Linked DNA regions of Tamandua tetradactyla. The protein of the gene in region 1 purifies or fractionates together with the protein of each later gene. This does not show direct contact. Links are inferred from orthologs where the notes say so. Each region holds a gene or a part of one and is shown in the gene's direction. Other genes may lie near its edges. The genes, in order: BCL10 and baculoviral IAP repeat-containing protein 3-like.

Region 1 (8,241 bases):
CATGAACTGAAACCTTCTGTCTTGCACCATGAAATGCTTGACTATCCTGGCTTTCTCTGAATCACCCTTTGACCTAAAACAGCTAGCTCAGTGTATATCTAGCAATTAAGAACACTGGCCTTGCTATCAGACAGAGCTGAGTTGAATCCTGATTCTGCTACTTGCTAGGTGAGTGACCGCAGGCAAATCATATTCTCTAAGCCTCAAACTTCTCATCTGTTAAGTGAGGAAAAGTAAATCTGTCTAGAAGGACTGTTACAGCAATTAATGATAGTTAGTGAGCATTTTTCCCCAGGCAGTTGTACAACTGGGAGATCGAGCCTCTCCCGCTGGTTCTCCTGTGGGTTTATGAGGATATTGACGATATCCTCCCCTTGACGATAATCAGGGCTCCATGTCCCAGAAACACGCAAGCCTCTAATACCAGGTGTCTACCTGCAGTCTCCAAACCAACCAGGATGGTGGAGGAAAGGATCCAGTTTCCTCATCAAGCCCAGCAATGCCCTGATCTTGGGGTGCACTATGAATGTCCTCAGAGCATTCTCATGCTGGGTCCTTCCTTCCTAAACTGGAAGCCCTTCCTGGGGGCAGGATCATCTGGAGCGTTCACCAAGTCCGTGAGCTTCTATCTCGGAATTTCACCAATATTGTCTGCAAATAAAACACAGGGATGCCTCAGAACTGGCTACTTTTTCTTCCAGCTGGTTATAGGAAAGTTATAGCTCACAATCATCTGGAATAAAATTTGTTGTTCAACATAGTATTTTGTACCTGGCAGATATTTAATAAAACTTTTGAAATAAATCATTAAGCAACAAAAGTTCCGCCTATTGAAATCTACTTGGCCAACCAAAATACACCTCTTTCCTGTCACCTTATCAGTCAAAAGTGACTGATTACATTCATCTCTTCCTTTACACTCTTATAAAAGCTATTTTTTTCATTAAGTGTTTATTATTTATTCAAGGTCATACAGCTATTAAGTGGCAAAGCCAGAATCCAACCTAGGTCTGTCAGATGCCAAACGTCCTCATTCTTAACCACAATGATATGCCACCTTATTTTCTTAGCACATAAACTGTATTATTCACACTACATTTATCAGATGCCTTGTATTTCACAGCACAAGGCAGGATGGTGTACCTAGAAACCTAGACACAGAGGTAGGGATGAAGGGCATACTAGGGGATGGGGAGGTGAAAATATTGCAAATAGGGAATAAGCGGGGCTATTTTCTTGGAAATATGCCCAACCTTCACTACAGTCTGACCCTGAGATTTAACAGAGAAGAGGAAATGAGTTTGCATATTATGAAATGTGATACATTAGAAAGAAAGCAGAATTGAGAACTGTAATGCCTGCCACAAACCAGCTCTTTGATTAGGTACTTGACATTAGGATGCGGCCCCTTTGACACATGATTTGACCCAGGAACCTTAAAACATGGCCTGGTGTGGTGGCCCAGGGTCAGGACCCCCTCCCTTGGGAGATGAAGGCTTAAGTATGCAGCAGCCGGTGTGATCAGAGCCCAGACATTATTGTTAAAGCAATTAAAACTCCCCTCCCCTAATCACTGTTGGTAATTAACTGGCTGAGACTCTGCTGAAGCTTCTTTGTAACAGATATTGCCAGGCTTTGCTGAATCATATAAGGTACTCTTCCTCTTGTTTTGGGGATCACTGATTTCCATTTCCTGACCAGTCACCATCAGAAAGAATCGTTTCCTGTTAGTAAGTCCCAAATGAAACCCATATCTAACTCTCTGCTGTGTTCTTTGGTCTTTGGGCTGGGCTGGGCTGGGCTGGAACACCTGGAAAGCAAAATATTAAACTTTCAGCTTTCAAAAATTCCTAAGATTCTCACTCCACACCTGAGTGTCATCCAACGTCGGCTCTTCAGTCCATCACCAACCCTATTACTGGCACCTAATAGGCACAACTTTTTGTTGAATAAATGAATAAGTGAATGAACATCAAGGATGGAAGAAGGGCATGGCTGCACGTGTCAGAAAAGAGATGATGGACCCAGAGGGGCCAGCCTCTCCAAAACATCAACTAGTGCCATTCCCCTATCTCATATTATTGACAGCTCTTTCCAACATGAAAAAGTTGGAATGGACATAGCCTAAATACCCCTAAAGATTGGGAGAAGGCTCAAAGGAGAAAGTGGAGTTATAACAGAGAAGATAGGATTTAACAAATGAATATGACTGCTGAATTATTGTATTGAATAATACAAATCCTATTTCTTTTAGTCTCCAGTGTCTTGGAGCAGCTAAATGGGAAAACCTAAAATTGTGGAACTGTCAAACTCTGAAATCTGTTCTATAACTAATTGTTGCAGTGTGCTTTGAAATGTATTACTTTTTTGTATATACGTTATTTTTCACAATAAAAAAAGAGAAATATAACATAAAAAAAAGAGAGAGAGATGATGGTCAAGGACAAGGAAAGGGTCAGAATCAGAGTTGTCTACCATTAACATTTGATAGTCAAAACCCATAACAGAAATAAAGGTGTCAAAATATCAATTATTTGTTAATTCATGGTAATGAGTGTGGGGTGTTTGTAATATAACTCTTTTTACTGTTTGGTGTGTTTAAAATATTTCATTTTAAAAAGAACAGTATAACAGCAACTTCAAAATGACTGGACCAAATGGGATTCACCAAACTGGCAAATCATTTGCTTTAATTGGGGGGAAATCACCTCTTTCACGAGCAAAGCCGGTGCGGTTCATTCCCACACAACCCTTTAGGAGAGAACCTGTGGAAATACATCTGAAAAGCCATAAAATATTCATTTCCTTGGTTGGGAGCATACTCCTGCCTCCTGATAATTTAGGCAAAGAAAATAATAATTCAAAAGAGAATAGCATAGGAAATATGTAGGCAAAAAATTTTATAATTTTTTTATAACCATGGAAGATTGGGAATAATGCCAAGGGAACAACGGGGCAGCACTCACCACTGCTCCCACCTGGTAGAGCCACTCTCCTGTCTGTCTAAATCCCTACAGTGGCCTCCAGCTGGTCTCCATTTTTGCTCTTGCTTCTACAGTCAGAGTGATCCTAAAGGAAATCAAAGTGCTTCCTCATTTCTCTTCAAATTGTGTTTTTACAAGCATCACAGCTAGCTCTCCTGTCTGAGCCACCACCTCTAGGGCCTGGATTAAAGAAGAGACCCCCTAACTGGTCTCCTCCTTTCACCCTCCTCCTCAACAAAAATCATAAATCAGATCACACCACTCTTCTCCAGCAGCTTCCTGTCTGACTCAGAGTAAGCCCGTATGATTCAGCAAAGTGGGAGAAAACTCTTACAAAGGAACACAAGAATCTCATCTTCTGCTCACCCCTGACTCCATCCCAGCCACCCCCGGAGCCTTTCATTGGCTGTTCCTTCTATTCACAAGGCTCTTTCTCCAAATATGCACTCCCTCACCTCCTTCAAATCCTAACCAAAATCCCACCTTTTCAGGCAGGTCTTCATTGGCTGCTGTGATGGTCCGGAGCTATGTACCCCAGTAGCAAATAGTTCTTAAACTTAATCCATTCCTGTGGGTGTGAACCCATTAGAAGCAGGACATTTGATGAGGTTACAAAAGTTACGATGCGGTCCAACTCAATCAAGATGGGTCTTAATCCGATTACTGGACTCCTTCAAAAGCTGAATGTAATGCAGACACACAGAGAGAAGGCCATGGGAAGCAAAACACTGAAAGTCAAAAGAACAGGAGATAAGGAACAGGGACCCCAGACCTGGGATCACTGGCAGTCAACCCCAGAGTCTTCAAGACGAAGCATTGCCTTGAGTTGGACTTTTCCTAGCCTCAAACAGTAAATTATTAAATTTCCATTGTTGAAGCCAATCCACTGCATGGTATTTGCTTGAGGAGCCAAGGGAAACTAAAGCAGACACACTATTGTAAATTATTGTAAATGAGAAGCCTCATCCTGCTTCTCCATTTTATTTTCTGTTTATCATCTTCTAATATACTAAATAATTTACATAAATTTTTTCAAATATGTATCTTCCGTTAGGCCTAGACAACAGAAGATTTAGCAAGCAGAAAAAAACTGTACTTGTATTTTGTATCAATGTGGAAAAAGACATGACATAATGTTAATGCAAAAAAGCAGAATCCTTGGGTTGTGATTAAAAATGTTTTGGTGCATTTTGGGGAACACCTCTTTTCTGGTTTTTTGCTTCCCCTGACCTTAAACATTGGCTTTCCAAGTTTGTCCTTGGTCTCCTCATTTTGACCTACCCTTGTGGCTTCAAAAACTATCCAGTTTATTTAGTATGTCATCCAACTTTCCTCCTTGGGCGTAGACCTCTATTCTCAGCTCCTCACCCACATTTCTCAGGTTGCTTTGCATACTCCTCTATTCCTGAGTGGAATACCATTCTGGGAATAACTACTGTTCATCAATCTCCCCCACCCCCAAATGTGGAAGAACCCTTACAGGAGAAGCTGCCAGGAACATATTAGTAAGTACCAACTAAATGCTTGAGTAATACAAAATAATACTAATAAGTGCTTATCCCGTGCCAGGTACCTACAGCTTTCCATGTATAATTTAATTCTCACAGCAGTCCCATGAAGTAGATCTAACTCCACTCCACAGATTTATGAATGAAGAAAAACATGTTTATAAACGAACAGCCACCGAGAAGGATGCAAACGTTTAATTAGATGTTAAAGTGGTGGGAATGAGGTGGTTCTTTTTCTTATTTCCCCAAATTTCTTTAATACTGCAGTTCTGTTCCGTGTGTGCGCGTGTGTTTGTGTGTAATAACAACTTAAACATTTGAATGGGCAAACACAGCAACAGGAAATTATAGAACCCGGTCAGGAAAAAAGGGAGGAACCCGAAGGTACTAACAAACCTACACCCAGCGTGAAACGCCTGCCGCCGTGGGCGGTGCCAGCCAGCTGAGCAGCAACGGATCCCACCCACGGAAACGATTCCTTATTGGGAGGCCAGCCTCCGGCCACATGCAAATGACCTGCGGAGGTGTAGCTTGAGGTGACGTCAGCTGCGGGTAGAGCCACTCCTGAAAGGCTCCGGTGGGAGGCTTGGGCTGATTGGCTGTCGTAGTGACGGGGCGGGTCCTGCCGAAGGCCCAGCCTCCCGAACGGGCGGCGCCTGCGCCTGAGCCTCCCTGGACAGGGAAGGAGCCTGGCTTGGATCTCCGCGTCGCGGCGCGTACGGTCTGAGGCGCCGTCGCCCCCAGAGGGCGACCCCCGAGCCACTGTTTTCCTAGGGGCGGTTTTCTTCTTCGAGACCCGCTCCGCCTCTCCTTTCCCCCTCTTCTCGAGGTTATCGAAGCCCCCAGGTCTGGGAGGGGCGGCGAGGCCAAGCTCCCGGACCCGGAAGAAGAGCCGTCTCCTGCCTCTGCCATGGAGCCCACCGTGCTGTCCCTCACCGAGGAGGACCTGACTGAAGTGAAGAAGGACGTGAGTAGCGCAACCTTGCCCAGGCGCCGCTGGTATCCGGGGGTGGGCGGGGGCGGGCTGCAGTCCCACGGGAGAGGGAAGCAGAAACCGGATCCCGGAGAAGAGCCTCTGGGTGGGAGGAGCGAAAGGTCTGGGCTCTGGAGGATCGCGACGAGCCCTGCGACCAAAGGACCTTGCTGGAAGTGATCCCTCGGTGATTTGTTGATCCACATTTTCGAATCGCTGAACACAGGATTAAGGTTTCTGAAACTTTGTCCAGTAGACCTTTTCTTCGTAGTCAGCGTCTTACCCGCTCATGATTTTACCTCCCGGCTGTGCTTACGAAGCTCCGTTGTTGGGGATCCTCATCCTTTTTTAAAAAGTCATACTTCCTAGGCTGTGAACCCAACGTAGAGCAAAAGCTGGACCAGAAAAAGAATCCGAAGCAATGGAGCAAATATGTGAAACTGTTTTGCAAAGGGGATTGAGGGAAGCTCAACAGCTGAAAGCGCAACCTGGAATTCCCCTAGTAAGCAAACGCCCACGTATTTAAATTGAGGGGGGTATGAATACATGTAGCAGAGAATTAATTTACAGGTAAACGTTGGAAATATTCTGTAGCTAAATTAATTTCTTCTGCCTGGATGTTGCAGAACTGCACAAACCTTAATACCTATTTGTACGAATGGCTTTGTTGAGGTATGATTTGCTTCTTTCTTCTTTGTTTTTAGTTACTTGGTTTTTCATTTGAGACCTGTAGGAATACTACTAAAATGTTTTATACTAATTCAAATTAAAAACGGAAACAACATAATGTATGCTCTGATTTGACATTGCAGTACCTTAAGAATACAATCTTTGTGAATTGTGAGGGAGAGGAACTTTTTTAATGTTCATCTTTTTCAACTCCCTTCCTCTTCCCTCCCCAGTATTGTTTATTACACTGTGCTCATATAGCATGACTCATTAGCAAAAGGAAGCTGGAAATTAAACTGTATGACTAGAACTTGTGCCTTAATTTCCTTATCAGGTATTTATGGGACACTTACTATCTGCAAAGTACCATTCTTCTGCCTAGGATATAAAAATGAAGATAATACCCCTGCTTTATAATCTAGTTGAGATGAGACTGGGACATTGATGACTACAGTGGATTTTCATTATTTGTGGTAATTATGTTCTATAAAGTCCTTGAGAACTCCTAATTATTGAATACTGAATCTTTATTCCTAGGGGAAATACAGGGTTAGGTTCAAGCCAGCCTTTGGTTGCAACGTTTTCTTCAACCGATCAATATATTACTTTGATTTATATGTATGTCTCTTTAAAGACACATTACTTCATTTATATTGTTGATTCATTAGCAATGAATTCATGGCCAACAGCACTGTAATTCATGCTTGAGCAAAGCTTATCTAACAAATATATTTTCTCTGTGAGTTACATCACAGTGCTAGGCAGCACTGTAGCACTACACATGGAGTTCATTTTAAACAGCGAAATCACCAACAAAAAGCACAGAAATGTGACAAACATGGCACTTAATAAACCATGAAAAAGACGTTGTTAACAATATGAGCTGAAACAGGAAGGTAGAGCATTGCCTTGTTTGACCTCTGCTGGAAATGTGCGCATCAAGAACTCAATTTTTTTTACTATTCTGCACATCTATGAAAGAATGGGAAAACTCCATGAATATTGATTTGGGGGTTATAAATAAATTTTTCTGGGTAGGCAAATTCACAAATGTAATCAGCAAATAATGAGGACAATCTGTACTACAGAATGAGTTTTGTCTTGTTCAACATGGATGCCAGTAAAACCAAGAACTTCAAGAACTAAGCTTACAGAGTTCCATAAATGCTCCCATTTAAAATCTTTACAAGAACCTGTAAGGGAGATATTGTTATTCCCATTTTATAGTTGATGACTGGGCAATTACAAGTGAGAGGAGATAAAACTATACAAATGCAGATGTGAAGAGTGGGTTCTTTGCCTTTATTTTTATGACTGTTCATTGATGTTCTCCATCTCCATATTTTCAGTTTGCATTTTTATCAGAAATTCATAACCTTGGGGAGACCGTGGATGGATTTCAGGAGGTCTATGAAAAAAAATCTTGAAGATTTTCAAAATGGTTTTTGACCTTAAGTTTTAAAATTACCATCCACTGGGTGGCAGATGATGGCGCAGTGGCAGAGTTCTTTCCTGCCATGCTGAAGACCCAGGTTCGATTCACAGTGCCTGCCATGCCAAAGAAAAAAAAATTACCTTCCACATATTCAGACTTCTCTCAACTTTAGCCCTGTATTTCTAATTATCTATTGGAAATCTTTCACATTCTGCAAATTCCTCACTTGTCTAAAATTGATCCCTCCCCCAAAGCAGCTTGCCTTTACTGCTGTATTTTATATGGTGATGAATGGTATACCACCATCCATCTTCCTAGAAATTCCAACTTCTTCCCATCTAGTTATTTAGCTTATCTTTTAGGGGTTGGATTTAGTTCAGTTTAATAAATATGAATTACATGCTACTGGGAGGGCTGATGCTGTAGTTGTTTCTAACAGTTCCGAAATTAAAAACTAAAACAGTCATTTGAAAATATCTTGATTTCTTGGGAGAGGGAGACAGGTAAAAAGTAATAATTAGAAATTACAAAATAAGTGTAATGAATTATGTATTCATCCAAAACATATTTACTTGGTACTCTGTTAAAGTGTAGTGTTGAACAAAACATTCCTGGTTCTTGCCTGCTTCATGCGTATAGGTAATTAGGGTTGAAAACAAATGAATGTATAAT
Region 2 (7,823 bases), on another chromosome or scaffold:
ATTTATCTCCATATGACAATGAGGAAATGAAGGCTTTTGGAAAGGGGAACTGACTGGTATTGGAAGTCCAAGATATTTGAATCCAAAGGGTGATATTAAACCATAAGTGAGGAAACTTTATATTCACTAATGTAAAATTGATGTCCTTAATATCGTGCAAATGAGGGTACTGTTGTCCTACAGGGCTCAGACAAGTTTGCTAAGCTTTACTTCTTCAACAAAAATTCTTAATGTCTAAATTATGTGCCAGACCCAGTGGATGCTGAGGGGCATATAGAGCTGAAACACAGATCCTTCTCTGAAGGGGCTCACAGTCTAGAGAAGTAGAAAGGCACACTTACTCCCAGGTGTCAGAGATGTGGATATGCTTTCAAAGAGATGGATATGTTGAGTGTCCAAGAGGATGGGGACACCTGACAGCCCAAGAATGGAGAGGGTTGCCCACCAGGAAAGAGATAGTAAGAGAAGAGGCTGAGGATGTGAGTCAATCTGAGAAGGAACTGCTAGAAAGGAAAGAGGAATTCTGAGACTGGTATTAGAGAAGCCAAGGGAGGAGATCATTTCTAAGAAGAAGTGGGTCCCAGTGTCAGATGCAAAAATTTCCGTTGATTTGGCAAACAATTAACTGGTGTCATTAATACAGTTTCAAATGGTGCTGGCTAAAGCAAATTGTAGTGGCTTAAAGAATAAATAGGAGGGGGGAAAAGTGGACACCTTAACAACAGTTTGGTTCAGTTTGCTTTTGGCTATGAAAGGAAGGTTACATACCAGATCGTGGCTAGAGTGGAAAGTGGGGTTCACAGAGGAAATTTTTGTTTGTTTTCATTTTAAAGCTGAAACAGACTTATGCATGATTGTCATGCTGTGAGAAGAGAGATAGTAGAGAATGAGTTGAAGACATGAGGGAGATGGGGTTAAGAGCAATATTTCTGAGGAGTGAGAGAAGACAGGATCCCATAATGGAACAAGAGTCTGAGGCAGCAAGTATACTGTGAGCTAGAAAGACATGGATATGACATTGTGAAAGGACACTGCTCAAAGATGTTTCTTTGAGAAACAGAAGGCAAAGCAATCAGTTGAAGGTGAGGGGGAGTGTAGAGACATTTGAAGAACGGGCTGATGGTTTAGAAGAGTGGCATAAGGCAACTCTTATGGGCTAGGGAGCTGATTAGGGCAAAGTAGAATTGCTGAAGGATGATGAAGGGCCAGCCCAGGGGGAGTCCCATTCTGCAGGGTGTGGCTGTTCACCAGCTGACTTGGAAGCCTAGGTGTTAGAAATGGTTAAGACAGAAGGTTGAATTGATCGAGGGTTGGCATCTTGACACATTTTTGGTATATTTATTGTATATTTGCTGCCTACCATTTTTACAAATACATGCTTTGTTTCCACACCAAATCTTCTTTAGGGTAAGAGCTATGTAAAGGGTTTGCATACTCAAATGCATAAGAGGCCAGACAGGTGATATGCACAAAACTGTGTGTTTCTCTTTTAAACAGAATCATACTTTGTTTATGTAGTTAACCTGAAGGGATTGTCTCCATTTCCATAAAGATGTGGTTCTCTCTTATTTTTGTCAAAACCTGTGTCTCTCATGGTCTAGCATTCGTTTTTGTGACTCTTCATAAACACGGGTATTAGAACAATTTCACCTCTCTCTCAATTCTGTATAAGAAAAATAATAGTGCCAGTCCAGTAATAAATGGCAACTGATAGCCTAAATATTAGGTGGTCAAAATACAGTGAGAAACTGGAGAATGGTCTGTCTGAGGGGTCTAGCCACTACTCAATTCTAGCCAATTGGCATCATGCAGGAATTTGGTCCAGTGTTGCCAGACCTTCTGATTTTTCAAAAGAAGCTTGAAATCTAGAATTTTATGGGTAACTTATTACTTTTAAAAATTAAAACATTAAAAAATGTATTTGGAAAACTGGTGAAATTCAAATAAAGCACAATAGACTAATTAACAGCATTGTATAAATATTAGCTAACTAGTGTTTCTAGATGGTAGTTTATGTAACCTTAACTTTGGGGAAGCTGGTTATAAGCTATGCAGGAACTCTGCATCAAGTTTTCTCCAGGTCTAAAGTAGTTTCAAAATAGTTAAAAATTAGTAACATACTGTTGTCCATTTCTGTGCAAAGTGAACATATCTCTACTGGCCACCAATTAGAGACCTTGTGTCTTTGTCTGGGATTTCTTCTCACCTATAGTTCTTAGAACAGTACCTTGTACTTCATAGACAATCAGTAAATACTAGTGCTCTATTTTGAAGAAAATGTTTTTTTAAAAAAATCATTGTGTCATATTTCATGGACTGACTTTTAAAACTTTTGTTTTTTTAACAGGTTTTACCAGAGAGGAGAACTGTTCTACTACTAGATTGTTTTCAATTTCTTCTATAATTAAGAATATCTCAAAATGGAGGCCTAAAACCCATAAAAGGGACTTAGTCTAATCTCCGGGAGGTAGTTTTGTGCATGAATGAAAAAAACTTAAGTAGTTGACTTAATTTGGTTTACAAAGAATGTAATTTTTTAAATGAGTTATTTATATGAAGTATAACTATAAAGTAATGAATTTGATTTTGTATTTGATTTGTGGAAGTAAAGGAGAAGTGATTGTAGCTGGAGCATATTATTAAAGCATTCATTTAAAATTTGGGTAAGCAGTCTTCCACTGGCTGCACTGTGTAATAGAAAAAAAGCACCTGTATTTGGTAAAGATTTAAAAATGAGCGGCCATTATCTAGAACAAAGAGTTAATATTAAACCCTCTGTTAAATTAGACAAATATGCAAATAAGGCCTCTGACAGGTTAAAAGATTTCTATGATGGCAAAGAATGTCAAGTACAAAATTTTTTGAGAGGTATAAAAATTTAGAGAAAGCTGGAAAGATAAACATGATAGTTGAAGAAATTACTCAATCACATGAGCACTGATAATATTGAAAGTCTAAAATTCTGTTTGTTTAAATTGCTGAGAATGATGAGAATGAGAACAATGTCTGGGTGGTTAAATTTTGGTAAGGGAACAAACTTAACCAGAAAGAAAGTTTACACAAAGACAATGATGAATACAGGGGTATTTTAGCACAATGTAAAATGTTTGACTAACTGAAGAAATAATGAAGTTAGACACAATGATTCCTCCTGGGAATCACAACTGGTAATGAGATAATGTTTCTCTTGCTATCTGGACACAAAGCATTGAAGTCTGCAGTAGAAAACCTCAACATCTGTGACAGCCAGGAAACCATGCTGGCAAATCACTGGTGGAAAAGCAAACAGTTTATTGGTTATTGCTGGTATTACCGTAGACTACCTGTTTACTAACGGCTAGTTAGGCATAACCGAGAAATTCTGAATTTTGAAAAGGGCTCAGCTGTTCAGAAGAAGGGGATTGTGGTAAAGTAAATTTATTAATTTTTGTAATGACATATTCTGGGTCAAAGTTTACTATCTGTGAACTAATATCTAACCAAGTTTCTGTGAAGTAATTTCTAGTCAAAACCAAATCTGCGCAATTTGATTATCCATTTTAGCCTAAAGACTACACATTCTATGACTTTTGACTGCTTTAAAAATAAATTCGTTATCAGAGTAGAATATTTGATGTTAGCAAATTAGAAAAATTAGACATTTAGAAAAGCAAAGTTCAAAAATGTACATGGTAGACATTGTGCAATGTGTGGTTTGAGCAGGTGATGTAAGGGAATAACTCTACAAAGTTAGTTCTTTGAGAGGGACAACAATTAAAAATCTTTAAAAGTCTCATTATTTTAAAGCCATATTTAATTATCTTAAGCAACGTGATAAAATGATTTTTCTAACCAAGGGAACATTATATCATGATTCCGTTTTTCCAAAATAATCTGAATTTAAGATTCAATTTAAATTGCATATATTGATAGTTTGTGGCAGAATCTCCATTTGCACCACCTGTTGTCTATATGATTATAAGAAAAACTGTCAGTTTTAATCAAGTGTACCATTAGAATGAAAAACAAAAACAGCTGACTTGCCTTAACAGCATGAAGTTGGATCCAAAAGACTAATTGAGCAAAATACATTCATTTCTGATGATTTTTTTAAATAGAATTTTTACTTTACCAAGACCTAATGGTATCATGAGGACTAAGGAGTCAAGTTCCTTATATATGAAGTAGTTTTAATTTTTAGTTTATTTTAGTTTTAAACTTTAATTTTCCCTATTAAAAGAATTGAGGGAGGAGAAAGTATCTAATTATCTAAGCTGTCACTTTCAGATACACTATTATTTTATGTGCCTCTAAGAAATAATGGGAATTAAAATATGAATATACCATTAATTGTAAGAAGCCTCTCAATAACGGGGATATTAAAACATGTTTTAGAAGTGATGAAATATGGTAATGTATTCTTTTGAGGTAAGTCTTAGGCTTTTTTTCTGGCTACCAAGTTTAACAGTCTACAAAAACTAAAATAAACATAACTTCAACATTTTTGTTGTAGAACACTTGTGGAGCATAGCTTTCCACCATGAAAAGAAGCTAGCTACATGAGTCAGATATTTTATCTTTAGGTTGGCTGAATGCCCCTGAAGCACTTTAGTGGCCTGAAAAGTTGACCTGCCTATGAGATGCTTGATATTGATATTGGTATTCTGATGACCTAAAACACTCCCCCTTCAACAAAGGGTTTTTAATTTCCATCACAAGCTACCATGTAGCATCATGTTTACATGTGTATATGTATATATAAAGATTATACAAAGGAACAGTTGTGCATAATTGTCCCTTTAAAGTATATGTCCCTTTAAAGTATAAGTATAGGATTTAGAATCTTGCCATGCTGAAACTCTAAATTTATAGAAGAAAAAGAATGATTTCACATTCTAGGCATTCAACCTTGTACTGAAACTAACAAAATCAAAAGCCATGCACAAAACTACCTCCCCAGAGAAAGGCTAGTCCCTTTTCCTCCCCATCCAATTCACCATGAACATAGTAGAAAAAAGCACATTCTTATCAAATTTGATGAAAAGTGCCAACACGTTTGAACTGAAATATGACTTTTCATGTGAATTGTACCGAATGTCTACATATTCGACTTTCCCCACGGGCGTTCCTATCTCAGAAAGGAGCCTTGCTCGTGCTGGTTTTTATTACACTGGTGTGAATGACAAGGTCAAATGCTTCTGCTGTGGCCTGATGCTGGATAACTGGAAAAAAGGAGACAATGCTATTGAAAAGCATAAAAACTTGTATCCTAGCTGTAGCTTTATTCAGAAACTATGTTCAGTTAACAGCCTGGGAGCCACCTCACAGTCTTTCCCTCCTTCAGTAAATTCTATACATTCATTACTACCAAGTTTGGAAAACAGTGGATATTTCAGTGGCTCTTATTCAAGCTTTCCATCAAATCCTGTAAATTTCAGAGCAAATCAAGATTTTCTTGCCTCAAGACAAAGCTCTTACAGTTGGGCAATGCATACCGAAAAAGCGAGATTACTTACTTACCAGATGTGGCCATTGAGCTTTCTGTCACCAGCAGACCTGGCAAAAGCAGGCTTTTACTATATAGGACCTGGAGACAGAGTGGCTTGCTTTGCCTGTGGTGGAAAACTGAGCAACTGGGAACCAAAGGATGATGCTATGGCAGAACATCTGAGACATTTCCCAAGCTGTCCGTTTTTAGAAAATCAGCTTCGAGAAACTTTGAGACACACAGTTTCTAATTTGAGCATGCAGACACATGCAGCCCGTTTTAAAACATTCTTGAACTGGCCATCTAATGTCCTAGTCCATCCTGAGCAGCTTGCAAGTGCTGGTTTTTATTATATGGGTAAGAAACTTAATCTGATAATAATAAAAATGTTCAATACATTTTAGCTTATAAATTTTAGTGGGCAAGCTATATGTGCTTGTAAGTTCTCCTCCAAATTAATTTTAGGACACAGTGATGATGTTAAGTGTTTTTGCTGCGATGGTGGACTGAGGTGCTGGGAATCTGGAGATGATCCATGGGTGGAACATGCCAAGTGGTTTCCAAGGTAATTGTTTTGAAATTCTCTGCAAATTTTTGTTAGTCTCAAGGGATGGGTTCCATTTGTCTACTTTACAATTAAATGGCTGTTACTTTATTTTGTCTTTATTTTGAAAATACATTTGTGAATAAATTTTTGAATGAATTACTTAGAAATAGATTTAAAAGGTTTTGATGGAAATTAAGGATGAAAAAGAAATAGGTTTAGATTTTGTTTAATTTTTAAAATATATTTTCCAAAGATAAAACATGCTTATTATAAAAACACAGTCATACATTTTAGAAAAGTACAAGGGAAAAAAAATAAAATTGTCCCCAAATCCTACCACCTAAAGATGATCATTTTTACCGTTTGACTGAACATCCCTCCAGACATCTGTGCCTATGTACCTATGTAGATAAATGAATACAATTTGACATAAAAATGAGATATAATGTTTTGAAAATTTTTTCAGTCAATATTATATCCTGGATATATTTCCAGTCTTTTAACATAATTAATTGAACATCTATTGCCAGGCCTGCTCTAGGTGCATAAACTATACCAGTTGAATAAACAGAGACTTGGTCTCATACACATGTTTTATAGCAGGGGAGAGAAGACATTTAATAAAAATGTAATGAGTTACGTAGCATATTAAAAGATAAATATTTGGGGGGGGGAAACGGAGAGCAGGTTAAAGGGGATAAGGAGTGTCAGGAAAGTTGCAATATTAATTAGGGTGGTCAGGGTAAATACAGACCCACCTAATCTGTTTTAATCACTATGTAGAACTTTTTGTCATGTCTTATACTTTCGAGGATCTCACTCTTTTGCACTCTTTTTTCATCTAATTCAATGATCTTTAATTACATTTTTCATGGTCAAAACTTTTATTATTATTGAATGTTGATTATGAAACTTGCTATCATATTTTCATTATACATATCTTTACATAGTACTCTATCTTCATTTCTAGCATCTTTGTGCTCCCCAAATATTGCAGATTTTAAAAATTATGAAGATTGTAAGGAACACTTATGTAGTTCTTTGAAAGTTATGCTAGCTTTCCACTGTGGTAATTTTGTGAATATACAAATGTAAATTTGAAAATATGCTTTGATACTATCATGAATTTGTTTGATGCTCTAATATGACAACAAGTATATATTATCTAGGAATTGACAAACTTGTGACTATCTTATTAGAATATGACTTTTTTTTGTCTCTTGTTCCTCTCGCATGTTCTCTGCTCTCAAATCTATAATGGAGATGAACCGTGTCACTTATCAGAGAGCTGCTACATGTCTGTTTTTAAAGTCTTTCTTCAGAGCATTTTTAGGAATCTTAGAGAAGAGCTGAAGAGAGCAGTTAGGGGTTCTGAGTGGCAAACTGCCAAGGTTGAAGTAAGAAAAGGGTCATGAGGCTCCCAGTCTACTGTACTGGGTGTCATACTGTAAGGCTGTCATAAATCAGAGGTATATGTGTGCATGAGTGGGTCACAAGCACTCACCATTTAAGGGCTTTTGTCTCAATTCCAAAGGAAATAAACCAATTAATCAAAAGCATTAACTGAATGGATGCTATTTCTGGCCCAGTAAGTCATTGCTGTTGACTCTGAGGTAATTGCAAATGAGAAAGAAAACACCAAAAATAGATTTATAAGCTTAAAATTAGATTAAAATGAGCATTCATATTTTTTCTATTTTGAAAACATTTACTTTTAGTTTTTAAAATTTTTATCATTACAATGTATTTAAATTAGAGATTAGAATTTAAAAAGAACCAGTTGAAGTTGAGGATATGGAAAAAAAATAC

Evidence for each region.
Region 2: the proteins of BCL10 (region 1) and baculoviral IAP repeat-containing protein 3-like purify together in Homo sapiens (affinity purification with western blotting; 5 studies listed by BioGRID and IntAct, with this or other methods). This does not show direct contact. The link is inferred for Tamandua tetradactyla from reciprocal best matches to the Homo sapiens genes BCL10 and BIRC3.

Annotation. Positions count from the first base shown.
Region 1 is NC_135337.1:39,768,805-39,777,045, forward strand, and holds the start of BCL10 (B-cell lymphoma/leukemia 10), read left to right. Parts: upstream 1-5,134; 5' UTR 5,135-5,402; coding exon 5,403-5,459; intron 5,460-8,241. UniProt on the Homo sapiens protein: Plays a key role in both adaptive and innate immune signaling by bridging CARD domain-containing proteins to immune activation.
Region 2 is NC_135334.1:40,516,892-40,524,714, reverse strand, and holds the start of baculoviral IAP repeat-containing protein 3-like, read left to right. Parts: upstream 1-4,794; 5' UTR 4,795-4,977; coding exon 4,978-5,824; intron 5,825-5,932; coding exon 5,933-6,032; intron 6,033-6,373; exon of another isoform or gene 6,374-6,415; intron 6,416-7,823. UniProt on the Homo sapiens protein: Multi-functional protein which regulates not only caspases and apoptosis, but also modulates inflammatory signaling and immunity, mitogenic kinase signaling and cell proliferation, as well as cell invasion and metastasis.